Elephas maximus indicus: one gene and its partners. The protein of the gene in region 1 purifies or fractionates together with the protein of each later gene. This does not show direct contact. Links are inferred from orthologs where the notes say so. Each region holds a gene or a part of one and is shown in the gene's direction. Other genes may lie near its edges.

Region 1 (7,568 bases):
TTCAAATGTAGCAAAACTGAAAGAATTTTACAGGAAACATCAGTATATTCACCACCTAGTTTTTAACATTAACATTTTACTATACAAAATGTGGAAATTCTCAAACAGTATCATTAATATCACACGCAAGTAAAATTTTGCTGAAAATCATTCAAAAGTGGCTGCAGCAGTACATCAACAGTTAATTGCCAGAAATTCAAGCCGGATTCAAAATAGGATGTGGAACCAGGGACATCACTGCCAATGTCAGATGGATCCTGGCTGAGAGCAGAGAATACCAGAAGGATGTTTACCTGTGTTTTATTGACTATGCAAAGGCATTCGACTGTGTGGATCATAAAAAATTATGGATAACATTGCAAAGAATGGGAATTCCAGAACACTTAATTGTGCTCAAGAGAAACCTGTACATAGATCAAGAGGCAGCTGTTCAAACAGAACAAGAGGATACTGTGCGGTTTAAAGTCAGGAAAGGTGTGTGTCAGGGCTATATCCTTTCACCATACCTATTCAACCTGTATACTGAGCAAATAATCTGAGAAGCTGGACTATATGAAGAAGAACTAGGCATCAGGATTGGAGGAAGACTTATTAATAACCTGCATTATGCAAATGATACAACCTTGCGTGCTGAAAGTGAAGAGGACTTGAAGCACTTACTGAAGTTCAAAGACCACAGCCTTCAGTATGGATTACACCTCAGCATAAAGAAAACAAAAATCCTCACTACTGGACCAATAAGCAACATCATGATAAACAGAGAAAAGACTGAAGTTGTCAAGGTTTTCATTTTACCTGGATCCACAATCAATGCTCATGGAAGCAGCAGTTAAGAAATCAAATGTGACACTACATTGGGCAAATCTGCTGCAAAAGACCTTGATAAAGTGTTAAAAAGCAAAGATGTCACCTTGAAGACTAAGGTGCGCCTGACCCAAATTACAGTGTTTTCAATCACTTCATATGCGTGTGGAAGCTGGACGATGAATAAGGAAGATCAGTGAAGAATTGATGCCTTTGAATTATGGTGTTGGCGAAGAATACAAAATATACCACAGACTGCCAAAAGAACGAACAAATCTGCCTTGGAAGAAGTACAACTGGAATGCTTCTCAGAAGGATGGCGAGACTACGTCTCACATACTTTGCACGTGTTATCAAGGGGGATCAGTCCCTAGAGAAGGACATCATGCTCGGTAGAGGGTTATCGAAAAAGAGGAAGACCCTCAACGATATGGGTTGTGTAGCCGCAATAATGCACTCAAGCATAACAATTGTGAGGATGGCGCAGGACCAGGCAGTGTTTTGTTTTGTTGTACACAGGGTTACTAAGAGTTGGAACCTAACAACGACAACATACTTGCTTTATTTGCTTTCTCAATTTTTCTATCCCTCTTCTGCTTTGATACATTTCAAAGTAAACTGCAAATATACCTTCACTTCCCCCTAAATTCAATATTAATATCATTAACTAAATTCTCAGGTGCACATTGTGTATTTCTTTCACAGCATTTATCACAACTCCAATTAAGGAATATTTGGTTTGTGTAACCATGCTTAACATCTGGCTCCCTGACTAGACCATAAGGTCCAAGAGAGCAGGGGTCTTCTGTCTTACTTAATCCTGCATTTCTGGTGTCTACTGCATAACAGATGCTCAAACAAGTATTAAATATTTAATGGGATTCTTTAAGTAGGGTCATTAGTTCATTTATTCATCAATTGTTACATCACATTTTGTCACCTCACTTCTCTTTTAGGGTGCATGCGTTGATTATAGTCTAACCTAGAGTCTTACATTTTAAATTAAGCAGTAGAACTGGACTAGGGTTGAGGATAACCCAGTTGCACTGGAAAACATAATTACATAAAGTTTATTGACTAGGCCTTTTTTGTGAGGCCAGCTGAGTAGAGGTGCTAACTAAGGCATGGCTGCTTGAACTAAAAAACTAAACCCATTGCTGTTGAGTCAATTCCGACTAACAGTGACCCTACTGGACACGGTAGAGCTGCCCCATAGTTTCCTAGGAGTACTCGGTGGATTTGAACTGCCGACCTTTCGGTTAGCAGCTATAGCTCTAACCACTATACCACCAGGGTTTCCATGGCCATTTGAGGAGGGCACTAATGAAAAGTTTGTATTGGCCATTGCAGTTTCCACCTCCAGATGTGAGAGATTATTCAGCAGTTTAAAACTAATTACCATAGGCACTATTTTCCATAGGAAGGCCCCTACAACTGAGTGATCTTGGCCAGGTCATCTCTATGAGCCTCAATTTTCTCATTTGTAGAACAAAGATGATCTCTTAAGTTTAGTCTCCCTTTGTTAACATTCTGCCAGGACATTATAGGCATTGTGGCTCTTAATCATTGTTCTATCACTCAGTAATTGTTTAAGTTTGACTAGGTTACTCTCTGAAGGAGCCCTGGTGGTGCTCTGGTTAAGCACGTGACTGCTAACCGAAAGGTTGGCAGTTTGAACTCACAAGCTGCACCACAGAACAAAGATGTGGCAGTCTGCTTCCATAAAGGTTAGAGCCTTGGGAACCCTATGGGGCAACAGGATTGCTATGAGTCAGAATCAGCTTGATGGCAATGGGTTTGGCTTTGGTTTTAGGTTACTCTCCATCAATTCATTTGGATTAAATGAGATTTCAAAAGCCTTCTAAACGATCTTCCTGTTTCTATTCACTACACAGTAGTCAGAGTAATCAGATTAAAATGGGTTCTAAACCCTGCAACGATTTCCCATCTCATTTAGAATAAAAGCCAGCAGTTTAAGGGGGCGCTGGTGGTTCTGTGGTAGAATTCTCGCTTTCCACGTAGGAGGCCTGGGTTCGATTCCCAGTCAATGCACCTCATGTGCAGCTACCACCCATCTGTCAGTAGAGGCTTTCATGTTGCTATGATGCTGAACAGGTTTCAGTGGAGCTTCCAGAGTAGGTAGCAGGACTAGAAGAAAGGCCTAGTGATCTACTTCCAAAAATCACTCATAGCGACCCTACAGGACCCACAGTTTCCAAGGAGCGGCAAGTGGATATGAACTGCTGACCTTCTGGTTAGCAGCCAAGCTTTTAACTACTGTGCCACCAGGGCTCCATAAAAATCCTATGCATCGCAATTGTCCAATCCCCAAATATTCTGTTTTGGGTCGGGGGCAAACCTGATGGTAGCTAAGAATAACAGTGGCCTACAAGGTCCTATGGAAACCCTGGTGGTGTAGTGGTTAAGTGCTATGGCTGTTAACCAAGAGGTCAGCAGTTCAAATCCACCAGGCGCTCCTTGGAAAGTCTATGGAGCAGTTCTACTCTGTCCTATAGGGTTGCTATGAGTTGGAATCGACCTGATGGCAGTGGGTTTGGTTTGGTTACAAGGTCCTATATGATCTCACTACTCTCCTTTCTCTCTCTGCTCCAGACACACTGACCTGTTTCTTGGATGCTCTGGGCACCCTGCCATCTCAGGTACATTCCCCTGCTTTTCCCTCTGTCTGGAATGCTCTTCCCCCACATATAGTATGGGCTGGCTCCCTTACCTCCTTCACATCTTTACTCAAACGCCATCTTTTCATTGAGGCCTACTCAGGCCACTTTACTTAAAATTACATCTTCATCCCCCCTTTTATTTTACTTCATAGCTCTTATTAATTTGTAACATATTATGAATGTAAGAATGAATACTGTTTGTAAACACATATAATACAATGCCAGCTATACTGTTCTCTGTACAAATTACATTCTCTTGTCTAGGCCAGTGGTCTGTGGTCTGAGGGGATAAAGCTTGAGGACTTAGGGTTCAGCATCTTTTAGGAAAATATGCCTTAATGCAATCCAGGACTAATACTCATTCCTCGACAATCTTTTACAGGATATCTAAGTGCCACGCGCTCTTGAATAGAAACATGAACAGTGTCACTTTGGTGCATTCATTCAACAAATATTTACTGGGCGCCTTGTCTGTGTCAGTTCTGACTGAAGACAGCTGCTACAAGCATTTCGGGATCACACAGTTCCATCCCTGAAAACCGAATCCCCAGATTGGGGACGGGGAGTGGGGGGAGCACGCCGGGAAACGCCGGGTCCCGCCAGCAGAGGGCGTACTCCAGCCCCCTACGCGGCCTCCGGTCCCACCAAGGCTCCAGGCTCCCACGCTCGCTCCCGTGCGCGCCCCCGCCCGCCGCGTCACGTGATGCGGCCGCGGAACCTGAGCTGTGGGGCCTAAACCGAGCTAATTTCGTTGCCGGTGGCCGCTGCGGGGGCAACCGTAAAGGCTAATCCGAAGGTGTGAGGGAGGCTCGTGGAGTCGATGCTTCCTCAACCACGTCAGGTCGGCTCCCGTTACCTTTTCACCATTCGCTGCTCTGGTCGCCCTGAGCGTTTGCATGAGCTCTTTCGTGTGGAGAAGCTCCGGTGACCATGTAGGCGGAAAGAGTAAGGAAGCTCCCGGTGCCTGGTCCAAGGTCAGCGCTGTCGGCACGCCGCTCCCGCGCCCACCACACCCTCGGTGCGGGGCCCATCGGCCGGTTGGCTCTGGTGGGAACTCCGGCCTCCAGTTGTGGCCTGGTCCAGCGCCCCACGAAATCTCGCGCTGTCTCGCGAGAGTGTAAGTTGAAGGAACATGGCGACGTCTAACCTGTTAAAGGTAAGACTCTCAATGCAGCCTGGCTTTTACTCTGTGACTGCCGGGTTCAGCTCTTCAGATAGGCTAGGTTCAGGTTCAGCAACGAGATGTGTGAGTGTCCAGGGGCTGCCCACCGGAAGGGAATCAGCTGCGACTGCCGCAGAGGAGCGGAACGCGGGTGCCTGGCCTTGCGGCCGAGAGGCTCTGGTTGTCCCTCCCGCCGGTTGCCCGGCGTGTGAAAGGCCCGGCTGCGGGCTGACGGGGAGCGGTGCTTGTAAGGGACCAGCTCTGGCCGGGAGGCTGAATGCTCGTACTGTGGCCTGAGGGATTGGGCCGTTAGTACTCGTGGGGTCTCAGTTTCTTCTGAAGCAAGAGTCTAAGACGAATAAAAAGAAAATCAGTAAAATGCTGCCTAACAGGTTTCAATGACCAGACCCCCATCTCCTCAATCCCTGTTTTCCTCATTTGTACGAAATTCCAAGTCAGACCGAGCAGTGCCTCCAACCCCACCCCCTTCCTCCCTCCCTTTTCCGCACGACGCACCTTCCCTCCTACCTCCCAGGCCCCTACCTCCTCTTCTTGAATTCTTGTTTTTCCTTAAGAAACTGCTCCCCCCTCCACTCACTCACCCCCGCCCCCATTACAGCACCCAACCAAATGACAGCTGATGAAGTGCTACCATCGTTTTAGGGCTTAGGAAAGTTACCTTATCAAAACGTTTAGTTTTATGTGTTTGGGATGGCAAGGTAGATCTAGGCCCAGAGGGACAGGTGCTCTACCGTCAGTTAAAAAGTTTGAAAGAGAATGAGGAAGACATGGTACTAATTCGTTCTGTGTTTGTGTTTATAGTTAGGAAACTTTTCCTTAAAAGCATTGACTGAAATGTGGATAGTGATCTGCTCAGGAAACATAAAAACAAAGGATAAACTGTTCCTCCCTCAGACCCATTATTATGCCTTCAGGCAGTGTGGATGGATAATAGAAAATAATATTAAAATATACCGGATGCTCACCTTTATGTCTTCTTTAGGCCACTGATACTGATTGCTTAATAGGTGAAACTGTCCTATAAAATGAAAACCTAATTTTACGAACTTAACAGGCAGTGTCTTGCCTTTTAAACTCGACTGCCTGAATTTCTGCAACTTACAAGCTGTATGGCTTTGGGGTAGTTTCTTAAGCCTGACTTATCAGTGAAAGGAGGTTATCAATAGCACCTATTTCATAGGAACATTGTGAAGATTAAATGAATTAATGTATGTAAAATGCTTTAAACAGTACCTGACACTTAATTCGTATACCCGTACCCGTTGACATCCAGTCAGTTCTGACTCATAGCAATAGTATAGGACAGAGTAGAACTGCTCCATAGAGTTTCCAAGGAGCGGCCGGTGGATTTGAACTGCCCGCCTTTTTGGTTAGCAGCCCAGCTCTTAACCACTACGCCAAACCAAAAAAACCAAACCCGCTGCCGTCTAGTTTATTCCGACTCATAGCAACCTTGTAGGACAGAATGGAACTGCCCCATAGGGTTTCCAGGGAGTACCTGGTGGATTCGAACTGTTGACCTTTTGGTTAGCAGCTGTAGCTCTTAACCACTGCGCCATCTGTTTCCACCACTACCCAAAAAAAAACACATAAATTACTGGAACTATTTCTCCATCTGTCCCGTTTCTTTAAGAACTAATTTACAGGAGTTGAGCATCCCATCCTACTCTGCTTTCTTTTTCTAACAGATGGTATAGCAGAGTTGTAATGTATTAGTCCAGAAAGAAATTCGTTAACTTCTGAAGACTATTGTTAATGCGTCAGTGTTTACTAGCAGTAGTGTATGTTATTAATCAAAATGTGTTTAAGAAATAATTGGGTTCCTACCTTGTGAAGTTTTTGACCTGTTGATTACCTGAATATGAGGCAAGCTCTCCTCCTTGCCCCCCCATACTCAAAAGAGTATTGTTTGAAGGAGATATAAAAAGTATTGTTTGGAGGAGATACAAATCTGAAGCTACTTTAAGTCAAAGTTAGTAAATGGTTACCATGTAGAGATTATGGATCTACATCTATGGGATACACATATAGAATGGAAAAACTGCCGTAACGTATGCAAAGTGGACATTTAGGCTTAGGTTAAAAGATCACAAGACTTCAAAAAGTGCTACAGTTCAAACAGCTTGTAAATAAAAGGAAGTTAACATGGTTTGAAGAAAACTGTTAGGGGGCTCAATCACTCTAGTGAACATGAAGACACAGATGCCAAAGATACATTGGAAAAATGTCAATAAAATTACTTTATAAAATGTTGACTAGGAAAAAAGCAGAATTTCTATATGAATATTATTTTATATGGTATGTGATGTAAAATCTGTATAACTAACTTACTATGATAGGTATTGTAAATAGACATTTGATTCTTTTATCTATATCCACAAAAGTTTATGTACTCAAGTTGGCCTGAAAACCTTTTTTTCCCTCTCCTCATTGGGAGATAGGGGGGATAGTCATATATTAAAAAGTAGATAATCATAAAATAGGAAGACTGAGAAGTTTATCTTTTTGGAGAAATGTAGTGAGACCCTGTCAGATAGATCTATAACATAATTCTTAGGAAACTTATATTCCTAAGTTTAATAGAGACAGGGCTGGCTAGGGAGTGATCAAATTAAAATTAGCCTCATTTTCTTTTTTGACAGGATTAATAGGCTTGTAGAATTCTCAGGAATGCCCAGTTTGGTTCCTGGCCAGTATACCTTAAGCACAGCCACCACCTATATGTCAGTGGAAGCTTGTGTGTTACTATGATGCTGAACAGGTTTCTGTGGCACTTCCAGACTAAGATAGACTAGGAAGAAAGGTCTGGCAATCTATTTCAGAAAATCAGTGAAGACCCTGTAGATCACAGTGGTCCCATCCTGTTGTACACGGGGTCACGACAAGTTGGGGGCCGACTC
Region 2 (7,504 bases), on another chromosome or scaffold:
TGAAATAGGATCTAGGATGCCACATTTGTGAATGGTCCATCTTGGCCCAAGCTGAGTCCTACTGTCCAACCATAAACTCAGACCTGAGCAATTGCTTAAATAATGCTGCCCTTTCCCCTACATCGTGGGTGTAGAAAATTGGGAAGACGTGGAGATGTCTATTATTAACATGTTACATTTTTCTATGCGCCACTGTATAAAAAGAGGGGATGGTATTAGGCTACTCTTTATCCTTTTGTATTTTTTTCCCACTTAACATATTTTGGGAGTCCCTGGATGGTGCAAATGTTTAAGCATTAGGCTATTAGCCAAAAGGCTTAAAGTTCAAGCCTACCCAGACGCACCTTGGAAGAAAGTCTTGGTGATCTGCTTCTGGAAAATCAGTTATTGAAAACCTTGTGGAGAGAGTTCTTCTCTAACACAGACGGGGTCGCTATGAGTTGGAGGTGACATGATGGCAACTGGTTAACATATTGTGACCTTTTCCCTGTATGTTTCATTTTAACTTGATAAATCCCTTTCCTCCCAGGCTGTGTTCCAATTGAATCATTTTAGGAAGTACATACGTAACTCTGGACACAGCTCTCATTCCTTACGACATGGGGTGGTGATGACTACGGGGAAAGGCTTGGGTAAGACCTTGAGTCCTCCTTTATTTTGGCGTGGAGTGTTGGGTCCTGGGTCTTGGCTAGTGCCGGCTGACTCCCCCAGGGGTGGGCCCTCCACGCTCATCCCCACACCTCTCTCATGGCCTGTAGTTCTCATTCTGTGGAATAGCTCAAGTGGGGATGTGGCTCATGGGAGGAGCCAGGGTTCCAGGGTCAAGCCTTGGCTCTGCCACCGTCACACTCTTGGTACTCTCATCTGGACCCTGGGAATGACACTCCCATTCCTGTCCACCTGACACCTGTTCTACGTCTCAGATGAGGACCAGAATGTGAAAGTACCTGGCAAGGTTCTATCTCCAGATGATGCAACCCCCTGCTGTGGGTTGAATTGTGCCCCCTCAAAATATGTTTGTAAATCCTAAACTCTATGCCTGTGGTTATAATCCGGTTTGGGAATGGGTTGTCTTTGTTATGTTCATGAGGTGGGATTAATGTAGGGTGTGTCTTGAGTCAATCTCTTGAGTCAATCTCTTACAAAATATAAAAGGAATAGATTGTGCAAGCAGAGATGGGGGAAGACAGATGCCAAAACACATGAAGGTCACCAAGGAGCCAAGGAATAGAAGCTGAAGAGACAAGGACATTCCCCCAGAGCTGACAGAGAGAAAGCCTTGCCCTAGAGCTGGTGCCCTGAATTCGGACTTCTAGCCTCCTAGCTGTGAGTAAATAAATTTCTATTTGTTAAAGCTACCCACTGGTGGTATTTCTATCATAGCAGCACTAATAACTAAGACACCCCGCAAAGATCTTTCATGCCTGAAATGATGGCCTTGGCTGAAACCCCAGCAAAAGGCCCCACTGCTGATGAGTCATGAGCAGGATCGGTGCCAAGAGAAGGAGATGGGGGTATACCAGGTGCCTGTGTGTCAGTCTGAGTTCTCTAGAGGAGCAAAACCACTGAAAAGTATATATAAATATACGTAGAGAGATTTACCTCAAGGAAATGCCTTACGCAACTGTGGGGGCTGGCAAGTCCCAAATTCATGGCAAGTCCCAAGTTCATGGGTCCAGCGGCAGGCTGGAGGCCTCTGCTGGCTCATGGGGTTGTGGGAGCTGGCGAATCCAAACTCTGCACGTCAGGTGGCAGGCCAAGACTGCTGAAGGCTTACATCCCAGAGGTCAGGTGACCAGAAGAAATAGCAAGCTTTGCAGAACATCTGTTTAAATATTGGAGGCAGACCACAGCCCAAGAAAACTTCCCTTTCGACTAATTGTCTTGGTCACATCGGATCATGAAAAGTGATTACATTATATTACATTATGGAAGAGCACCCAGCCTAGTATCTGTGAAACCACTGAGAATCGTAGCCTAGACAAGCTGACACATAATAGTAACCAGCTCACCTTGGTATGGGAGAATGGGAGGGAACAAAACCACTAGTCCAGAGGGTACCTTGTCCACTGGTCTACAGGACAATATGTGTGTGGAGAACAATTCTAGCAGGTTCTTTTCCCAAAGGACCCGCTATCCAGCACCCCAGCATTTTGGGAATTGTCCCATACTGCCTTGCGGGTCTTCTTGCTTGGCCCCACCATCTGGATTGCCCATTACATGGGGGATAGAGCTATGGCTAAAAGCACTGGCTTCCAGGTTGGGCAGATCCGGTTCAGGAAGCCAAGGCATTGCCTATGAATTGCAGGATTGTGAACGTATGACCCAACCTCTCTGAGCCTCAGTTTCCTCATCTGTGAAGTGAGGGTGATGAAAGTCCTTGCCTTGGAACGTCGTTGGGAGTGCAGCAGGATGATGTTTTGATACGTTAATAGGTGCCTGGCCATCCTCCTTTCCATGCTGCCCACCCCAAATGCACTTCCTGTTCCCCTGTGACTCTTTATATCCCAGGGGCTCCGGGAAGGGCCATTGCAGCAGAATCAGAGACCAAAGAGGACAATGGGGACTTCTGATTTGCAAACACAGAGTCCAGGCATAAGACAAGAGGATTTGGAAAGTGGGTTCGCTGGCTCTCTTGACTTCAAGAGGTTTGTCTGGACCAGGAGGGAGGGGCAAGTCAGAGGGAGGCAGAGTGTACACATCCCTGAGAAGGGCCTGTGCCTTGCCCACACCCACCCCACCCAGGCCAGTTCTGGGGAGACGGTGGTGGTAGATAGGTGGAGAATCTGAGCACGGATGAACACCTTACGGAGCTCCACTAGAACTTCGAATTACCAAGAAAAGTCCCAAAAGAGTCAAGTGCATTGAACAGTCCCCCTCCCCGAGTCTCTCACATCCCTGCCATGGCTCAGGGCAGCAGCTAAATGACAGGCCTATAAGGGGCTGAGCTTGAGCCTGGGCTTCAGAGGCCAGCCAGCCACAGTGGCCTGGGGGGACGTTCTCAGGTGGGGTGATCTGGTTCGGGTGGCCAAGCCACTGATTGTGTACAAATGACCCAACCTCCCTCCAAGCCTCAGTTTCATCATCTGTAAAATGGGGGTGAAGATAGCACTTGCCTGGAAGACCCAGGAGGTGTCATAGTAGCTGGGAGACTGTCAGGAACTGATGATGTCTCTCCCATCCTTGCCCCAGACCAGACCTCCAGAACTCTGACCCAACCCCAGGGCACCCTGTATACACTGGGATTTATTCTCAGGTAGGATATTCAAAGTGAGTATAAAGGTGTGCTGAAATTCTCCTGAGCTGGAGTTGATAAGAAACTAGGCTATGGCTGTTATAAACCCAATATCCTCTGAGGGGAATGGGCTCTTGAAGTTGGAATGATTTTCATTCAGCGACATAGACATCTCCTGCCCCTGACTCTGCGCCTGGGACTGAAAGCATATGTGGGGTGCATCACACACCCTATGCTCACCAGGCAGCGGGCTGGACACATGGGAAGCCCAATGAGTGTGGCTGTTGCCATGGTCTTTGCCACCTGGTGCTGACATATCGTGCCATTTGACCTTTCCAGAAGCAGGGAACACTCTTCCCTGGACCTGGAGAAAAGCGCCCTTCTGTTGTGTGCCTTGGCCCCGAGCTGGCACTGCCCTTCGCCTATTTGTCATCCCTGCCCTTTGTCTCCCCAGCATCCAGCATCTGGATACCTGGTGCCTCCAAATGTCAGGCTCTGCCAACTGCTGCAGCTCTGCACCCAAGTACCGACTGGGGGGCTCTCCAAAGGCTGTTTACATGGAATCCTTCTTCCCCTCTCTCCCTCCCTCTTACCCTCTCTTTCATTCCATCTTCCTTTCTGCCTACTTCTCTTCCGTCCCTTTCTTTTTTCCACTTCTCCCCATTCTTCCCGGTAGTGCTCAGTTTCCCTTCAGTCCCTCTGTCCTCTTCTTCGCCTTCTAATTCCTTCTTTTCCATCCCTCTCTCTTTTTCCTTTGCTCCTCTCCTAGTCACCTCCCTTCCCCCACCCTCGCCTGCTCCTGTCTCCTCCCATCCATGCTCTTCTCTGTCTCACTTCCTTTTCTTTCCCCATCTTCGTCTCTCAGAAGATCACCATTCCTCTCTCTCCTTCTCCTCCCAGTGTTTGTTTTCCTTTCTCCTTTTCTTCCTTGTCTCCATTTACCCTTAGCCCCTCCCCCTCTTCTTCCCACCCTCTTCCTTATCTTTCTTTCTCTCCATCAACCTCTTTCATTCCCCCACTTCATTCTCTTTCTTCCTCTCTCCCACACATTCTTTCTCACCTTCACTTCTCTCTTTCTCTCCGAACTCTCTGTCTCTCCATTCTCTTCCCCCGTCTCTCTGTCTCTTACCCTCTGTCTCTCTCCTCTTCCTTCCTCTCCCCTCTCTCTCCCTCCTGGGTAGTTCCAGAAACATACCCATATATGGCCTCCATGTCAAGGATCACAAATGATGACGTCACGTGGGGGTCAGCCGGAGGCTCAGCTCCAAGATGCTCTATGAAGTGAGAGTCTGTAATTGATGCATTGAGAGAGGAGCTGAAGGCAGGACCGCCGTTTTCTAGTGCAATCTTCAAACAGGAAATCTGAGATTCGTAACATCTTATAGTTTGGCTTGTCATCACTGGTCATGCGGTGGGCCCGAAATAAACTCCCTGCTTCAAAGGCGAGTGTTTCAGAGCTGCCTGGCAGTGCAGCCAAGATGCGGAGAAAACGCAGGGGCACGTTCTGAATTAGGACAGTCTCAAGAAAATCCTTTTATTACACCTGAGTTGTATCCTTGTTTCAGAGCCTAGCAGGTAATGCATGCTTTCAAGTCTCTTGTACAGACCTTGCGAAAGGTGATTTGGCTGGCTGGGGCTTACCACTACACTGCTTAGCTGAAAGCTCTTAGGGTCAAGCTACATTCTTGCCTCTCCGTCTCTGTCCTTTTGGCTTGAGTTGTAAAGTTTCCTGGTGGCTTTTCATCTTGGCTTTGGGGACATGGAATCGGCAATTTGCATGGGCTTGTCCATCCTTCGGGGGACTCTGGCTCAGAGTGTCACTCTGATGTGCACGTCTAAAAATGGCAACACGGCAGGAGCCCTCAGTGATGCTATTGTTGGTGCCGTGGGCCTTGGGCAAGATCTGCGTCAGACAAACAACTTTCAGAAATGTGTTTGGGTCAGGCAAACAGGCATTGCCATGCCTGAGAAAGACAAGTGAATGTTTATGAAGTGTTCACATGTGCACGGCAATGAGGAGGGAGGCTAGCCACTGGGGTGCCCTGGGCTTTACCTGCAACGGGGTTGGGGCTCAGGGGAAGAAATAGAAGCTGCAAACAAAAACACGCGAGACAGTGTGAAGATGGAGAAACACTATGCAAGACTTAACAGAACACTGTGGGAAGGACCAGGACAAAGAATTCTTCCTCTGTGTGTGTGCTTGAGGGAAGGGGCACAGGACAGGGTCAAGCAGGAGATGGCCTTCGAGCAGGTTCTGGAAGGATAGGTGGACAACCTCAGGTAGAGGCGGGGAGGCATCTCCAGATGGAGGGGCAGACGGGCGGCCCGGGCCTGGGTGCTGGTGGAAGTGTGGGGCAGCTGCCTGAAGGGCCACAGAGGTGGGAAGTAGGGGTGAAGCTGGGAGGGGAGCTGCACGGCCATGATGCCAGGTGAGAAGATTGAACATTTACCGACAGCTTTTGAGCAGAGGGAGCCCTGGGGGCACAGTGGTTATGAGCTTGGCTGCCAATCAAAAGGTCAGCAGTTTGAATCCACCAGCCTCTCCTTGGAAACCCTATGCGGCAGTCCTACTCTGTCCTGTAGGGTAGCTATGAGTTGGAAATGACCGGAGGCAACTGGTTTGGGTTTGATGTGAGCATAGGAGGGCAGGTCTGGCTTTGGCTTCAGACAGCACCTCGGGAAACCCTGAGGATGAGTGAGGGATCCAGGAGGCAGGCGGAAGGGTAAGGATGAGTGAGGAAGGCCTGACCAGGGCAGAGGCTCACTACAGCCCCCACGCCCTGCACAGAATGGGCGAGCAGGAACTGAGGGGGCTCACAGCGGCCAAGGCAGAACCAGCTGGGCCCACACATCAGCCGCAGCCCAGGACCTTTGCCAGCAGAGGCCAAGCAGCCCTCGGCAGATACTCGCTCCCTTCCAAAACACTCAGAAGGCCCTGACAGCTGGTGGAGAGGCCTGTTTACAGCACAGTCGCCTCGTGGCACTGGCCACTGTCCCCACCTGACACCATTGGGGTTTGCATCATCCATCATACACAAACAGGCCAGGCATGGGTGCCTCCCGGGGCTGCACCCTCCTTCTCCTCCCTGGGCTTAGGGCCTATCAGGCATCCACAGTGACTTGATAATAATCACAATCAGTAACAGTAAGCATTTACTGAACACATCCTACCAGCCAGGCGCTGAGGCCATGGGCTGGGGGTGATGGCTCTCGTTGACTCTCCTCAAGGGACCAGGAGTTCAGGTGATTGTTACTCCCATTCCAGATGTGGAAACTGAGGGCCATAGAGAGAGGAGGTATTGGAAGAATCAGCCCCCGGCCTCATGGCCTCCGTGCCCACATTGGTAGCTCCCAGGGGATGGGCTGTGGTAAACAGAGCCACCCATGTACCTGGGACAAATGTCCCCGGCATAGCCAAGGCATCACAGGGTGCTGGTATATTGTGGAGGGGCTAGATACAAGATAGTCTTCCTGAAGGAGGCACCAAAATGTCTCTGGGCTGCCCGAGTGTCCCTCCATCTCTAGGTCAGGCAGTGGGGGAGGTGGCGTCCCAGGAGAGGTTCATATCCTTGGCTCCTTTCTTTTGGAATAATCAATAACCAGGAGTATAAACTAGGTTTTGAAGACTCTGTGGTTGAGGGGAACGTGCTGGGGAGATGGTGGGGACGTATATATGAATGGATTCATCGCCTCCCTGAGATGTTTAGAGACAGGGACATTGAGGAGAGGAGAAAGGAGAGAAAGACAGGGCAGATGGAGAGGAAAAGAGAAAAATTCAAATAAAGGTGGGAGAGAGGAAAAGAAAACAAATCCAGAGGGAGAGGGGAAAAGGCAGCAGGGAAGTCCTAGATGAAGTTAGTACGACCTGTTGTTGTTAGTTACCTCTGAGTCCATTCTGACTCAAGGCTGTGACCTTTTGGAAGCACATCACCAGGCGAGTCTTCTGAGGCACTTTTTGGTAGATTGGAACCACCCACCTTTCAGCCAGTAGTCATGTGCTTAACCGTTTGCACCCCTCAGGGACTCCTTGTTGTGACCTAGGTGACAGGACTTCCAGACAGCACTGAGAGCTGGATTTGGAGGGGCTGTAGGAGCTAGGAGCCCTGGTGGCACAGTGGTTAAGAGCTCAGCTGCTAACCAAAAGGTCTGCAGTTCAAATCCACCAGCTGCTCCTTGGAAACCCTATGGGGCAGTTCTACTCTGTCCTATAGGGTCACCATGAGTCGGAATTGACTCGATGGCAACAGGTTTGGGTTTTTTTGGGTCTAG
Region 3 (7,978 bases), on another chromosome or scaffold:
AATGGAACTTATTACGTATTACTGCCTCTTGCCACATAATTCCCCAGCCAGGTCACATCCAGGAGGGCTTAGGGGAGAATATACCATCGGGCTGTTGATGTTCATCACAGTTTTAGACACAGATGTGGATGGAGGCTTGATGGGTACTGAGTGAAATGGGACTAGGTCTGGACAAGGCATGTAGGCGGCTGGATTTTCCCTGTGTTCTGCTGCTGCCCAGTAAAGAAATAGGTTCCCAGAATGCACTCCCCCATTTTGGATCAGCACAGACTCAAGTACATTTAGTCCCTGTGTTTGGGAGTTTAATGTTCCTTTGGGCTCTGACATAGATTACAGAAGCATAGATTGTTTAGAGGCAATGGGCACAGAATCAAACTCTTTCCATTCACTGACTGCAATTATATGCAGTAAAGTAGCTTGGGGATGGGGTTGGGGGCTCTTGCCTCCACAGAGTCTCATTCAGACCCCTTTCAAGCTACCCCATGTAAACCTGCAAATTAAGTAAAAACAATGTGGTCAATTTGTAACTACAGCTTCAAGTCAATCCCCCAGGCTTCCCATCCCAATCAGAGGGCTGCCTCCTAAAACCCTCTTACACAGAAATCTTGGAGCTTCCAATGACCAACCCCTATGTGTCTGTCAGTTTGTTGTACTATGGGAGCTTGCATGTTGCTGTGATGCTGGAATCTATGCCACCTGTATTCAGATACCAGCAGGGTCACCCATGGAGGACAGGTTTCAGCTGAGTTTCCAACGAAGACAGGCTAGGAAGAAGAACCCAGCGGTCTACCTCTGAAAATAATTAGCCGGTGAAAACCTTATGAATAGCAGCGGAACAATGTCTGATATCGTGCCAGAAGATGAGCCCCCCAGGTTGGAAGACAGTCAAAAGATGGCTGGGGAAGAGCTGCCTCCTTATGTACAGTCAACCTTAACGATGTGGATGGAGTAAAGGTTTCACGACCTTCATTTGCTGATGTGGCATGACTCAAAATGAAAAGAAACAGCTGCAAACATCCATTAATAATCGGAACCTGGAATGTACAAAGTATGAATCTAGGAAAATTGAAAATCATCAAAAATGAAATGGAACACATAAACATCAATATCCTAGGCATTAATGAGTTGAAATGGACTGGTATTGGCCATTCTGAATCAGACAATCATATAGTGTACTATGCCGGAAATGACAACTTGAAGAAGGAATGGTGTTGCATTCTTCATCAAAAATAACATTTCAAGAACTATCCTGAAGTACAGTCCTGTCAGTGATGGGATAATATCCATACACCTACAAGGAAGACCAGTTAATACAACTATTATTCAAATTTATGCACCAACCACTAAGGCCAAAGATGAATAAACTGAAGATTTTTATCAGCTTCTGTAGTCTGAAATTGATCGAACATGCAATCAGGATGCATTGATAGTGACTGGTAATTGGAATGCGAAAGTTGGAAATAGAGAAGGATCAGTAGTTGGAAAATATGGCGTTGGTGATAGAAACAATGCTGGGGATCGAATGATAGAATTTTGCAAGACCAACGACTTCTTCACTGCAAATACCTTTTTTGACCAACATAAACGGCGACTATACACATGGACCTCGCCAGATGAAATACACAGGAATCAAATCGACTACATCTGAGGAAAGACAATGGAAAAGCTCAACATATCAGTCAGAACAAGGCCAGGAGCTGACAATGGAACAGAACACCAATTGCTCATATGCAAATTCAAGTTGAAACTGAAGAAAATTAGAACAAGTCCACAAGAGCCAAAGTACAACCTTGGGTATATTCCATTTGAATTTAGAGACCATCTCAAGAATAGATTCGACACATAGCACATTAATGACCAAAGACCAGATGAGTTGTGGAATGATATCAAGGACATCATACATGAAGAAAGCAAGAGGTTATTGAAAAGATAGGAAAGAAAGAAAAAATCAAGATGGATGTCAGAGGAGATTCTGAAACTTGCTCTCGAATGTCAAGCAGCTAAAGCAAAAGGAAGAAATGATGAAGTAAAAGACTGAACAGAAGATTTCAAAGAGTGGCTCGAGAAGACAAAGTAAAGTATTATAACGACATGTGCAAAGAGCTGGAGATAGAAAACCAGAGGGAAGAATACACTTGGTGTTTCTCAAGCTGAAAGAACTGAAGAAAAACTCAAGCCTCGAGTTGCAATACTGAAGGATTCTATGGCAAAAATATTAAACTACGCAGGAAGCATCAAAAGAAGATGGAAGGAATACACAGTTATTATACCAAAAAGAATTAGTCAATGTTCAACCATTTCAAGAGGTAGCATACGATCAGGAATCGATGGTACTGAAGGAAGAAGTCCAAGCTGCACTGAAGGCATTGGTGAAAAACAAGTCTCCAGGAATTGATGGAATATCAATTGAGATGTTTCAACAAACAGATGTAGCACTGGAAGTGCTCATTTGTCTATGCCAAGAAATTTGGAAGACAGCTACCTGGCCAACTGGCTAGAAGACATCCATATTTTTGCCTATTCCCAAGAAAGGTGATCCAACTGAATGAGGAAATTATAGAACAATATCATTAACATCACATGTAAGCAAAATGTTGCTGAAGATCATTCAAAAGCAGCTGCAGCAGTCTATAGAGAGGGAAATGCCAGAAATTCAGGCCGGATTCAGAAGAGGATATGGAACCAGGGATACCATTGCTGATGTCAGATGGATCCTGGGGGAAAGCAGAGAATACCAGAAGGATGTTTACCTGTGTTTTATTGACTGTGCAAAGGCATTTGACTGTGTGGATCATAACAAACTAGGAATAACATGGCGAAGAATGGGAATTCCGGAACACCTAATTGTGCTCACGAAGAACCTTTACATAGATCAAGAGGCAGTTGTTTGGACAGAACAAGGAGATACTGTGTGGTTTAAAGTCAGGAAAGGTATGAGTCAGGATTGTATCCTTTCACCATACGTATTCAATTTGTATGCTCAGCAAATAATCCAGGAAGCTGGACTATATGAAGAAGAACGGGGCATCAGGATTGGAGGAAGACTCATTAACAACCTGCATTATGCAGATGATACAACCTTGCTTGCTGGAAGTAAAGAAGACTTGAAGCACTTACTGATGAAGATCAAAGACCACAGCCTTCAGTATGGATTACACCTCAACACAAAGAAAACAAAAATCCTCACAACTGGACCAGTGAGCAACATCATAATAAACAGAGAAAAGATTGAATTTGTCAAGGATTTCATTTTACTTGGATCCACAATCAACAGTCATGGAAGCAGCAGTCAAGAAAGCAAAAGATGCATTGCATTGGGTAAATCTGCTGCAAAGGACCTCTTCAAAGTGTTGAAGAGCAAAGGTGTCACCTTGAAGACTAAGGTGCACCTGACCCAAGCCATGGTATTTTCAATTGCATCATATACATGTGAAAGCTGGACAATGAATAAGGAAGACTGAAGAAGAATTGACATCTTTGAATTGTGGTTTTAGTGAAGAATATTGAATACACCATGGACTGCCGAATGAACAAATCTGTCTCGGAAGAAGTACAAACAGATTGTTCCTTAGGAGCAAGAATGGCGAGGCTGCATCTTACATACTTTGGACATGTTGTCAGGAAGGATCAGTCTCTGGAGAAGGACATCATGCTTGGTAAAGTACAGCGTAAGCGGAAAAGAGGAAGACCCTCAATGAGATGGACTGACACAGTGGCTGCAACAATGGGCTCAAGCATAATAATGATTGTGAGCACGGCACAGGACAGGCAGTGTTTTGTTCTGTGGTACACAAGGTCACTATGACTCAGAACCAACTCAACAGCACCTAACAACAACCAATGACCAAAGCAGCCTTTAGTCTAGAGTTTGAAAGAGGTAGCTTGCAGGCATAATGTAAAACGATTTTTAGAAAATTGTTGCCAACATTTGCAATTTCAGGGAATTCCCATTCTTAAAAATCTAGATTTCAGCTTCTTTTGAGAAACTGGGCAACCTCACCATGGTGGGATGGGAGGGAGGGACCCAAAACCCAGTGCCATGGAATCGATTCTGACTCGGGAGGGAGGGGGACGCATTCCTGCATGGTACAAATTCACCCTTCAGACAGGGCATGAGCTGCATGAACTGTCTGACCCCTGCTTTAATCTCAAACCGGTTAGATTTTGTGACTTAGGCCAGTTTTGGGAAGTAAGTGCTGCAACACTCTTGACCCAACAGGCTGCTTCGTTAAACCGCCCGTGTGGGGAGCTTCTTTCTTTACATTCAGCACCATGTGCTGCTGGCTTTGAAATGTTTACGCTGTACACATGAAGCACATCTCTCAGAGGTGCCAGCATGGCTCTCCCTGGGTAGGAAGGGTTACTGTCAGCAATGACATCCGTTTTAGTCCTCAACATTTGGGCTACACCCCTAAGGTGGTTGAGTTTGTCTTCAGTGTAGTTCACTCCGATGGAGGGTGGACAATATCCAGGACGGGTACTAAAGAACATGGATTCGCTTCAACATGGTGGATAAATGCTGGAAGTCTCTCATTTGCCAAAGAGACTTTCTTGGAAACAATCTAGTCTCCTAAGCAAGTGTACCGGTGTGAATTCAGTCGACGCAAGGTTTGGTTTAGCGAGTGTGGCTAAGGAGGGTAGAATAGTCTGGGGATAAGGTGCCCAGGCCGTTTCTCGCGTGGAGACAGTGGCGAGGTAGAAAAGGGCACGGATGGCCCCACCGCAGGCCTCGTCTACGCAGGTGTGACCACAGAGGCGGCCCGAGAGCCTGGGCCCCTGAGCTTTTTCCCACGGTAGGACTCGGACCCGAGCCCCCTGACTGTGGCCGAGAGTGCTACATCTCGCGCCCGCGCAAAGCCTCTGGGCGAAATGAGAAAGTAACGGGTGAACGAAGCTCAGAAGGACACAGGTTGCCCCGCGAGTCTGCGCAGGCGCAACTGGTTCTCGGACGCCGGCCCGTGCGCAGGCGCGCTTCCTAGTCGGCCTTGTCCTGTAAACAGAAGGACCCGCTGCGACAACTTCTGCTTCCGGGTCACGCCTTGACAGCGGCTTTCGCCTCCCAGCTCAGCCTTGCGGTTCGGTGAGTCCGGCACTCGGTGCGGGAAGGTCTGCAGCCAGGTTCCCCACCCCGGGACACCACACCCAGTAACGCTCCCCGCTCGAGGCCCGTGAGCCCTCCAGGCTGTGAGACTTCGTTCCGGGCTTTGGGGAGAGATCCGTGCGAGGGTCGGTCCACTTCTGGGGCTTCTCTGGCGCAAATTGCGCGACCCCCTTTCAGTACCACCACCAGGAGATTTGCCGGGATCGCTGCGACCTTTTGGGAGCCCATGTGGAAAGTGACACCACACGTCCTTGCATGTTGTGCCCTTGCCTCCCGCCCCCTAGCCTCGGAGAGACCGAGCTGCCGCGAGCCCTTAAGGGTCCAGCAGGTGCGGTGGGTGGAGGGCGCCTCTGGCTGGGCCGAGGGTCTCCTCGCGGGCCGGAGGCCCAGGCCTGGCTAGCGCCAGAGCCTGAACGTCGCCTCTCTCCCACTTTGCTTCCAGCGTCGCAGTAAAAACTCTTCGGTGATACCTCCCGATCCTGTCGTAAAGAGAATGGGGGAGAAAGGGCTGTCAGCCCCAGCAGAAGGGGCCCAACAGGGTCAAACCGTGCACGGGTGCACGGAGAGAGGTCGTGTTTAGATTTCCTTGACCGTTCCTTCCTGACAGGGAATGTTGTCAATCTGCCCGAGATTTACCTCTTCTACCGGGAGCTTTGGGGCAGCAGCAGACGACCAGTGATGAGTTAGGTCGAGAGCGCCTCGAAAATGAGTGCAGGTTGTTTCATCAGATTATGAAAGGTGTCGGTCACCTAGAAATGGTGAAGAGTCTCTTCAGTCCAAGCCTTCCGTTTTAGATAGACCCTTTCTTGGAATCGCTGACTCAAATGTCCCTCTGCCTTTTTTGTTTGTTTGTTTTGTTTTCTCCTTCCTTGTTAGAAAGAAGTGTGAGATACAGACCTTCTCTCTGGCTGTTGGAGACATTAAAACATACGCTAAATCTAAAATATCTAGAAAATTTCAGAGAGACATGTAAACAAACGTGTAAGCTCATTCATTCATAGTAGGAGGGAGATGCTCAGTTTGAATCATTGACACATATGAGTTGGATATTTTTCACTCTCATTCTGTTAATGGAAACCCTGGTGGTGTAGTGGTTAAGTGCTACGGCTGCTAACCAAAGAGTCACCAGTTCAAATCCGCCAGACGCTCCTTGGAAACTATGGGGCAGTTATAACTCTGTCCTATAGGGTCGCTATGAATCGACTCCACGGCACTGGGTTTGCTTTTGGATTTTTTTTTTTTTCTGTTAATTAGCACTGTATATTTTTTAAACACATAAATGGCTACTCACTAGCAAAATAGAAACTATTAGAATTTGTAGTATATCCCATCATGTGTAAAGGGATACTTCATTATAAAAAGTAAAAATTAATTATTATGAGATAACCAAAATAATTATTCCTTGGTTTTTTAGTAATCATTGTATGAATAATGTGCTTAATTATTACAAGTATTGAATTTATTAGGATTCTAAGTAATAAGGTTTGTATTGGTTCAAAAAATACAATTGCAATTTATTGAGGTCCTGTCATGTGTCAGGCACTATTGGAAAGAAACACAGTCTTTATCACCAAGGAGATTATAGTTTAATAAGAACAGAGACTCCTAAACAGTTACACCTAAAGCGTTGATACTGTACCCTCTTTTTTCTACAGTTTCTCATATGTACTTTTTCATAGAAATGTTCCACCTTATTTGCTGTAATTTTAAATGTTCCCAACTAGCACCTCTTACATAGCCAAAAGTTTTATCACAGTTGAATTTAAGTATATTGCATTATTTTCTTCCTCCATCCTAAAATTCTCCATCCTGTTGTGGTTTCAATACATACTTCAATATATATTCAATATATATACTTGCCCAAATCTATTTTTCAGTTGTCATAAATAACCAATTGTCAAAATACTTAATTCTATTAGCACTCTTAAATTTGCTTTCCCAAAACTTGAAAGCATATGTCATTGGTAAGAACTTGGATTTTTTTTTACTCTAATTTTATATAGATGATTCCAGAGTGTTCATACTTTTACTTCCTTCCTTATTTTATAAAATATCATATGTTTCCCTTTTTTTTCTTTGCTGAAAACATTTGAAGATATTTTATAGATGCCTTGTCGGTAGTAACATATATGCATTTGTTCCATAGCATTCTCCCTGTCTTTTCATAGGTAACAATTACTTCCATACCCTTTAGTCACTCAGCCAACCAATATTTATTAAACATGTGCTTTTTGGGAGACTCTGTGGATGGGGAAAAAAGTATAAGACAAAGTTCTTGCCCTCCAATCAATTACAATTTAGATGGAGAAATAATATTTATGTAATAACTGTAAGGCCAAATGTCATAGCCTAAAGGTTGTGCCAATAATAAAGATCACAAAAGTTCAGAAGAGGAAAAAATGTCGGTGGCATCTTTACCATTTAAAAATCCCCTTCCTTGCCTAGTTGTGTATAACCACATAGATTTCCATGGGTTCTTAGGACCTGTTGGACAATTCTTGTCTAGACTACTAAATCAGAGAATAGAACAGAGGTCGTGAGGGTCAGAGCATTTGTGTCCAGGTCTACCCAGCTCCCAAAGCAACTACACCTTCTCCTCACTATTGACATGGTTAGGTTCCAAAGACCAGGTTGTTATGCAAAATCGGTGTTATGCAAAATGGAGGATGACCACACCAGATCACAAGATGGAAGATGACTACATCATTACATAACTGCCAAAGCACTGAGAATCATGGCTCAGCCAAGTTGACACATAACCTTAACATTCACAGTCAGCTTTACTCTCGCATTGCACCTCAGGCACTTCGTTACTGCCAGACGTACGTTGTTAAATTGCAAAATAGATAGTAGATTTTTTACTATTGTTGTAAATGC
Region 4 (7,179 bases), on another chromosome or scaffold:
GAATTCAAGAGCACAGCCAGTCTGGCCCTAGCAGAATCTTGGTGTTGCAAAGACATGGATCAGTGGGGTCCTCAGTTCGCAGAGGTTCCTCTAAATGCCTGAGCCTAGTTCACTGATGGTTTAGCTAAGTTGAAATTGATGGTGTCCATATTGGGCTGCTGCTGTGGAAAACTGAAAGCCGACATTGTTGCTCTGCTCAGTAGACAGAACTCAAGGTTGTTCTCATAAGCCTGGCCAATACTCCCCCTGACAAACCTTGCTGCATTTTACTGAACTGGGCTGTTGCCAGTGGTCTAGCTGGTCGACCACTTGGAAGACTACAGAAAGGCAAATTGAAGACACCCGCTTGAGGGCTGTGAACTGTGGAAACAAATCTTTGCTGCTAATCTGACAGTTGGGTCAGTCATGTAGATGCCCATGGTAGGGGCCTGTTCTCTGCTGAGACTGACGGGTACCAAGCTGTTGATCAATCCTGCACTGCCCAGAAGCCACATTGCATAAGACCTTCCCCCTCCCCCTCCTGCTCCTGGTAAATTGACTATATAGGACCTTTGACGCCCTCTAGGGGCTACTCTTGGTGCCTCACCTCTGTTCACACTTCTTTAGGTTGTGGTGTCCCTGTTCCAGTCCTATCAGCTGACTCAGGCCACATCATGATTGGCCCTTGAAACTACTCTTTTATGCTTTAGGCTTTCCAGATCCTCTCCAATCTGATAATGGTACACCTTTTTTTTTTTTTTTTTTGCAAAGGCCGCCCAATAATGGCCAATTGTCAAGTTATGTGATAGACATTCCACACTCCCTACCATCTACAGCATCTAGTTGCCAAGTGCTGGAACGGCCTCCTCTAAAATCAGCTCTACTTCCCTCATCTCCTTCTGCTCTGATCTAGTAGGATGATCTAGTCACTGAATGCCACTGTCCCCCAAGAGAGGGGCCACCTCATCTCCTCTTGGCCACCTCTTGGGTAATGATCAAGATGAAAGAGGTGATAGATTATACTTATTTTGAGAATTTAGAATTCCGCCCTGACTGTTCCTCAGTATGATGCATCTTTTTTTCCCTAATGGCTATGCCAGGCCAACCTTAGTACACCCTCTGGGTGCAGCCTAGTCAAAAGCGGGCTTAGGGAATTCAGGCTTAATTCTGATTCTGCCACGGGTATTCTCTTGTTGGATTGATGTGGTCCTAGATCATGAAGACAATGACCACTTGATTGAGTACACTACTCTCCAGGTCCCCCCAAAGTGGTCTACATATGTCAAGGTGGGGGATATAATGGGTCTTTATAAATTTTGTAAAAATGCCCTTGTCTCACACACACAAATCAGGGATGACTGGAGAAAAAATTAGGATCAATTGATGCTCTCTTTATCCTCTAGATCCAGCACTGCAGCAGGGCAAAACCATCAGATGGTCTGTCTGAGTCACACTGGGTTTGTCATCCTTGTCCATGTGCTCGAAAACAGAAAAAAATCATGCGGAGCAGCCAGTCCTGGGCTATTCTTCTGTGTCTGGTGCTGTAAATGGAAACCCCTGAATGTGGTCCCTCCCTTCACATGTGGACAGATACTGGACCGGCACAACCTTGTTGCGAACTGACTGATATGGATTCATATGCTTCTCCTGCTGTCCAAGAGTCCTTGGGTCAGCAAATCCTATTGGCTCTACCTTCAAAATCTATCCTGACTTCAAGCAGACTCACAGGACTGCTGAGTAGGTTGTGCAGGTTGTACCCTGTCAAAGGCAGTTGGGTGAAGGGGTAGGTGGAAACTGAAATCCAGCCTAAGCTCCAGAGTGGATGCCTTCTTCTAATGTCCATGAAGGCATGTGGATAACTGGTCATCTCCTTATTTCCACTTCTGTTGTCCTTGACCAAACTACCAGCACCTCTTACCTGGATTATAACAATAGCTTTTTACATGCTTCTTCTGCCTTTGCCCCCTACACTCTAATCTCCACACATCAGCCTGGTGATCCTTTAAAACCTTAAGTCAAATCATGTTATGCCTCTGTTCAAACGTCTTTTTTTTTTTTTTCTACTTCACTCGGACTGAAAGCCAAAGTCTTTATAATGGCCTACAAGGCATCACATTACCTAACCCTGTCACCTCTCTGACTTCATGTCCTATTATTCTCTCTCTCATTCACACTGCTCCAGCCATTGACTTTCTTGTTATTCCTGAAATATACCATACATTGTCTTGGCTCAAGACCTTTGCACTTGTCCCCTTTGTTTGGAACATTCTTCCCATGAGCTATCATCATGCCTTGCTTCCTCGCTCCATTCAGGTCCCTGTTCACTTTACGTGAGAAGTTTTCCATGTAAAATAGCACCCCTCTAGATCAGCTCCACAAGGTCAAAACTTTGTTTTGTTCAGTACTGTATCTCCACCATTTAAAACTGTGCCTGCCACGTAGTAAGCACTCCTAAATATTTGTTGAATAAATGACTAATGGATAACCACTGACCCAAAAGAGGTACAATTTCTTGGCAACACCACAGGCTCAAAGCAATCAGTGACCCAGTCTTGGCTCTCTCTGAGCAGATCCTCTGCTCTGTTCCCCACCAGCAGGATTCCTGTCCTTTCCATAGTCACCCTGTGGATGGACAAGTTACCAAAACAACAAAGTGATGCGTTGAATTTAGTTTTGTTTTAAGGTAGGAAGAGAACCTAAGGATGACTGTCTTAACACCAAAATTTCAACTTGAGTTTTTTGTCGTTTTTAAAAATACAGTGCAGTTTTAAGAAATGCCCAGTAAGCTTACTTCTGAAGCATGTATTATCAACTGGTTCAGTTTCAAAGTCATCCTTAAATTCCCCCAATAACCACTGTTTTATGAGTTGAATAATGTTTCCAGAGCATTTGAAACAAAGACAAAGGAGTGCTTTAATGTGTGAAACAACACAGCTGTGAACTTTATTAACACTACAATAATTCTTGTCTTTTTTTTTTTAACTTTTCAATGTAGCCGTCTACCATTTTAAAAAGAAAACCATTTTTCTGAGCTTATTTTTCCTAAGTGAGGCATATATGATTTTCTTCAACAACCCTCTCAGTTGATGGGCACCTGGGTGTGGGGTGTTACTCACTGTGGATTAGAGGGGAAAAAACTCTTTCCTAATTTCCCCTTGGCCAGAAGACTCCTCTCCCTGCAGGATTTCTCAGTCTCCTTCCTTTGAAGGTTCTTGCCCTTCAAATTCCTTTCTTCCAGACTCCTAAATGAAGAGATTGACCAATGATGCAAGTCACCATTATCACCAGAACACATTTCCTGGTACCTGCTGGTTCTGGGCCCTAGACTGGGCTCTGCAGGATCACAAAACAGGCACCTGACAGGATCTCTGTCTTCTAGGAGCTTACACTTTGGGTTGGGGTATGGATGCACACTAGAAGTGCCAGCTAGACAGGGGCAGCTGTGTATACAATTTGCATGAGCGTAGGAGTGGGCTGGAGTGGGTTGGGAGGTTTGCCAGGTGAGTTTTTCACAGACTGCAGGGGATGGCGGGTAGAAGGAAGTTGGGTTTTGAAAAAATGTGGTACCAATATCTGGAAGAAGGCAAGATAGCACATGCATTTAGCACCACTTGAGACCCGGTTCCGCCCCTATTTATTCATGCAAAAAGTACTTAAATGCCTCTGTGTCAGATATTGTGTTGGTTATACACGGGGATCACGGGAATACCAGTGATGAACAAACCCTTGGGTGGGGGTGAGTTGGGCATGTGGGAGGAATGTGGCTAAAGCACAGGACCAAGGGATAGAAAAGTATGAGGTGAAGGTAGACCGGCAGGTGGGGATCAGATCACGCAGGTCCTTGCGTTTGGTGGTTAGGTGTTTGGATTGTATCCAGAGGGCAATAACATGACATTTAATTCATTTTCCAACAGCCTTAAGAACTAGGTGTTCTTATCTCAATTTTACTCAAGGTCACCAGCGGAGAGAGATGGGGGCAGGGTCTATGAAAATTTGTCGGGTTCAGGCGCCTCGAGGGCCTCCTGGTTTGCCGGCTGACAGGGCCGCCCGCGCCGCCCGCAATGGTCGGGTGAGAGGAGCAGCTGGAGACCGCCAAACCGAAAGCTCACCCAACGCCAGGGCAGGCGCGCTCAACTGAGCATGCGCCGCTGCTCCGTACGGAAGCCGAGAAGGAGGGGGTGGGACCAAGGCTGGCGGGCGTGGGGAAAATGGCGGCGGCGGCAGCTGCTGCGAACGGGACCGGAGGCAGCACCGGGATGGAGGTGGATGCATCAGGTAACGGGCCCGGCGGGGACGGTTTCTGGAGACACTCTTTCGGGTGCAGTAAGACCTTTCTGGACTCCCGGGAGAAGTCAGGAGGACAGAACGGCCACATCTTTCCCTGGGATAACTCGCAGAGGGATGTAGGGCCCGGGTTCTGCCGTCCCCCACTCCCGTCCCCAGGGAAGAACGTGGTGCCCGGACTGTGACTCTCACCCCTTTCTCTCCACCCTTAGTAGTCCCCAGCGTGATGGCCTCCGGAGTGACTGGTAGTGTTTCCGTCGCTCTTCATCCCCTTGTCATTCTCAACATCTCAGACCACTGGATCCGCATGCGCTCCCAGGAGGGGCGGCCTATGCAGGGTGAGTGTTTGGCATAATTTTCCAACCCCCTCCCATTGGTCACCTTCCCCAAATGGTGAACTTTTCCCCGGTAACTACTCCCTTGTTTTACTGAGGCCAACTCCCTCTCCCTGAATCGCTGCTTTCCCAATACTTGGTTCCTACTGACCTCAGGCTTTCCGGGAAAGTTTTGGAATTCCTTATACAGGTAGTCCTCGACAACGAATGTCGAGTTTGAGTTAGAATTCGAGTTGGGACAAACTGCACTTAGGACTTCTGGTTTTTTCATTTCATACATCTTATCATTAGTAATATGTATTACAGTGTTGTCGCTCATAATTTGCTGATGTTATTCTCAGATGTTCACTCATAGATGTTCAATGTTGTGATTTATAAAGCTAAAACCAAAATCAGACCCGTTGCCGTCGAGTCGGTTCTGACTCATAGGAACTCTATAGGACAGAGTAAAACTGCCCCATAGAGTTTCCAAGGAGCGCCTGGTGGAGTGAAACTGCCGAAGTTTTGGCTAGCAGTTGTAGCACTTAATTACTATGCTATCAGTGTTTCCTTTATAAAGGTACTGATGATAAAAGGCAATAATAATGAAAACAAAAACGACGTATTCAACTTACGTGGAAAATCACTTACTACAGAGTCATCAGAACAGAACCCATCGTAAGTCAGGGACTACCTGTACTCACTTAATGTGTGTCTTCTCCCCAGTGATTGGGGCTCTGATCGGGAAGCAGGAGGGCCGAAATATTGAGGTGATGAACTCCTTTGAACTGCTGTCTCACACCGTGGAAGAGAAGATTATCATTGACAAGGAATATTATTACACCAAGGAGGAGCAGTGTGAGAGCGGAATAGAAGTGGGGGAGAGGCATGGGAGTAAAAGCAAAGGGTGGTGGGGAGGGGGGGCGGGGAGAAATAGATAGGATTGGGAAGAAATAAACAGGAGAATGGGATGAGAACAGGGAAAGTAAGATGAGAGTAGCTGAAAAGATCTCAGAAAAAGAACACATTCAGGTCCAGACCCTCCCCCACAAAAAAGTAAAGGATGAGAGAAGACAGGATAAAACCAAAAACCAAACCCAGTGCCGACTCGATTCCGACTCATAGCGACCCTATAGATAGAGGGAGTAATTATTCTAAAACAAGCCAGGATTTGAGGGAGATGGGGAACAGATGATGAAAGTACACCAGGAGCTTCAAAGTGAGGAAGGATGGTTTAAAGGAATACTATGTGCTTTGGCCCCTTCCTCTCCAGTTAAACAGGTATTCAAGGAGCTGGAGTTTCTCGGCTGGTATACCACAGGGGGGCCGCCTGACCCCTCCGACATCCACGTCCATAAGCAGGTATACATGCTCACACATGTGCATGCTGGGGCAGAGGCTAGAGGATGAGGGGAAGAGGAGAGAGAAGGCATTGACTTTCTTGTCCTTCTTCCTCCTGTTCTAGGTGTGTGAGATAATCGAGAGTCCCCTCTTTCTTAAGTTGAACCCTATGACCAAGCACACAGATGTGAGTAATACTGACCCCATGCCGTTTTAACCATGCCTCTCTGTTACTGTTTCTTCTAGCCTTTCTCTGTTCTCTTTTACTGGATGACATTACTTCTGTGTTGGGGAATGCCAGAGTTGAACCTCTGTTCTGCAGCTCTGTGACTTTGTCTAATCATTTTACACCTAAGCTGCATTTTCCTCATACGTAAAAGGGATGGTCTCTACTTCACTGGGTTCTTGGGGGTATTAAATGAGAAGATGTGTGAAACAGCCCTGTCCAGTTCTTGGCACATTTGATGTTAGAACTGTTCTCCATCTCTTCTTTACAGCTTCCTGTCAGCGTTTTTGAATCTGTCATTGATATAATCAATGGAGAGGTAATACCCTACCCTTCAACCCTCAGATCCTGCTCTTGGCCTGTTTCCTGCTTTTGACCCTCTGTGGGGTACTCTGCTCTGTAGGCCACAATGCTGTTTGCCGAGCTGACCTACACCCTGGCCACAGAGGAAGCTGAACGCATCGGTGTAGACCACGTGGCCAGAATGACAGCCACAGGCAGCGGAGAGAACTCCACTGGTAACGGAGACTGGCGGAGCTTCCTTGCAAGCAGGGGTAGAAGGGAGGCCACGTGTCTTCTCCCCCTTCACCTGTCCCTGTCCCTGCAGTGGCAGAACACCTGATAGCACAGCACAGCGCCATCAAGATGCTGCACAGCCGTGTCAAGCTCATCTTGGAGTACGTCAAGGCCTCTGAAGCAGGTGGGACAAGTGCCTCCCTGGCACTCGTACCATCTTTCCTCTACTTCCTGAGGTACCAACAGCCTCCATACTAATGCAGTCTGCTTTTGTGCCTTTAGGAGAGGTCCCCTTTAACCATGAGATCCTGAGAGAGGCCTATGCTCTCTGCCACTGCCTCCCTGTACTCAGCACAGATAAGTTCAAGACAGACTTTTATGACGTGAGTGTGAAGCCCAGGATGGGGAGGTGGGGCTCAAGCTGTTTTTGCATGCAGGACATGGGATTCGGGTGTTCCCTGAGCATACGGTAAAGGATCCCCTGGGGAACTGGTTCTTTCTGTTCCCTCCCAGCAATGC

What was found. The genes of interacting proteins can lie anywhere in the genome.
Region 2: the proteins of CUL5 (region 1) and ASB2 purify together in Homo sapiens (affinity purification with western blotting; 5 studies listed by BioGRID and IntAct, counting the BioPlex papers as one, with this or other methods). This does not show direct contact. The link is inferred for Elephas maximus indicus from reciprocal best matches to the Homo sapiens genes CUL5 and ASB2.
Region 3: the proteins of CUL5 (region 1) and ASB8 purify together in Homo sapiens (affinity purification with mass spectrometry; 3 studies listed by BioGRID and IntAct, counting the BioPlex papers as one, with this or other methods). This does not show direct contact. The link is inferred for Elephas maximus indicus from reciprocal best matches to the Homo sapiens genes CUL5 and ASB8.
Region 4: the proteins of CUL5 (region 1) and COPS6 purify together in Homo sapiens (affinity purification with mass spectrometry; 5 studies listed by BioGRID and IntAct, with this or other methods). This does not show direct contact. The link is inferred for Elephas maximus indicus from reciprocal best matches to the Homo sapiens genes CUL5 and COPS6.

What each region holds. Positions count from the first base shown.
Region 1 is NC_064825.1:11,657,421-11,664,988, reverse strand, and holds the start of CUL5 (cullin-5), read left to right. Parts: upstream 1-4,551; 5' UTR 4,552-4,617; coding exon 4,618-4,641; intron 4,642-7,568. UniProt on the Homo sapiens protein: Core component of multiple cullin-5-RING E3 ubiquitin-protein ligase complexes (ECS complexes, also named CRL5 complexes), which mediate the ubiquitination and subsequent proteasomal degradation of target proteins.
Region 2 is NC_064828.1:107,556,836-107,564,339, reverse strand, and holds the start of ASB2 (ankyrin repeat and SOCS box protein 2), read left to right. Parts: upstream 1-4,495; 5' UTR 4,496-4,677; exon of another isoform or gene 4,678-4,810; intron 4,811-7,504. UniProt on the Homo sapiens protein: Substrate-recognition component of a SCF-like ECS (Elongin-Cullin-SOCS-box protein) E3 ubiquitin-protein ligase complex which mediates the ubiquitination and subsequent proteasomal degradation of target proteins.
Region 3 is NC_064822.1:103,034,182-103,042,159, reverse strand, and holds the start of ASB8 (ankyrin repeat and SOCS box protein 8), read left to right. Parts: upstream 1-4,969; 5' UTR 4,970-5,080; exon of another isoform or gene 5,081-5,429; intron 5,430-7,978. UniProt on the Homo sapiens protein: May be a substrate-recognition component of a SCF-like ECS (Elongin-Cullin-SOCS-box protein) E3 ubiquitin-protein ligase complex which mediates the ubiquitination and subsequent proteasomal degradation of target proteins.
Region 4 is NC_064830.1:91,596,238-91,603,416, forward strand, and holds the start of COPS6 (COP9 signalosome complex subunit 6), read left to right. Parts: upstream 1-4,170; 5' UTR 4,171-4,187; coding exon 4,188-4,254; intron 4,255-4,475; coding exon 4,476-4,601; intron 4,602-5,303; coding exon 5,304-5,435; intron 5,436-5,850; coding exon 5,851-5,939; intron 5,940-6,042; coding exon 6,043-6,105; intron 6,106-6,415; coding exon 6,416-6,463; intron 6,464-6,547; coding exon 6,548-6,662; intron 6,663-6,751; coding exon 6,752-6,844; intron 6,845-6,942; coding exon 6,943-7,043; intron 7,044-7,173; coding exon 7,174-7,179. UniProt on the Homo sapiens protein: Component of the COP9 signalosome complex (CSN), a complex involved in various cellular and developmental processes.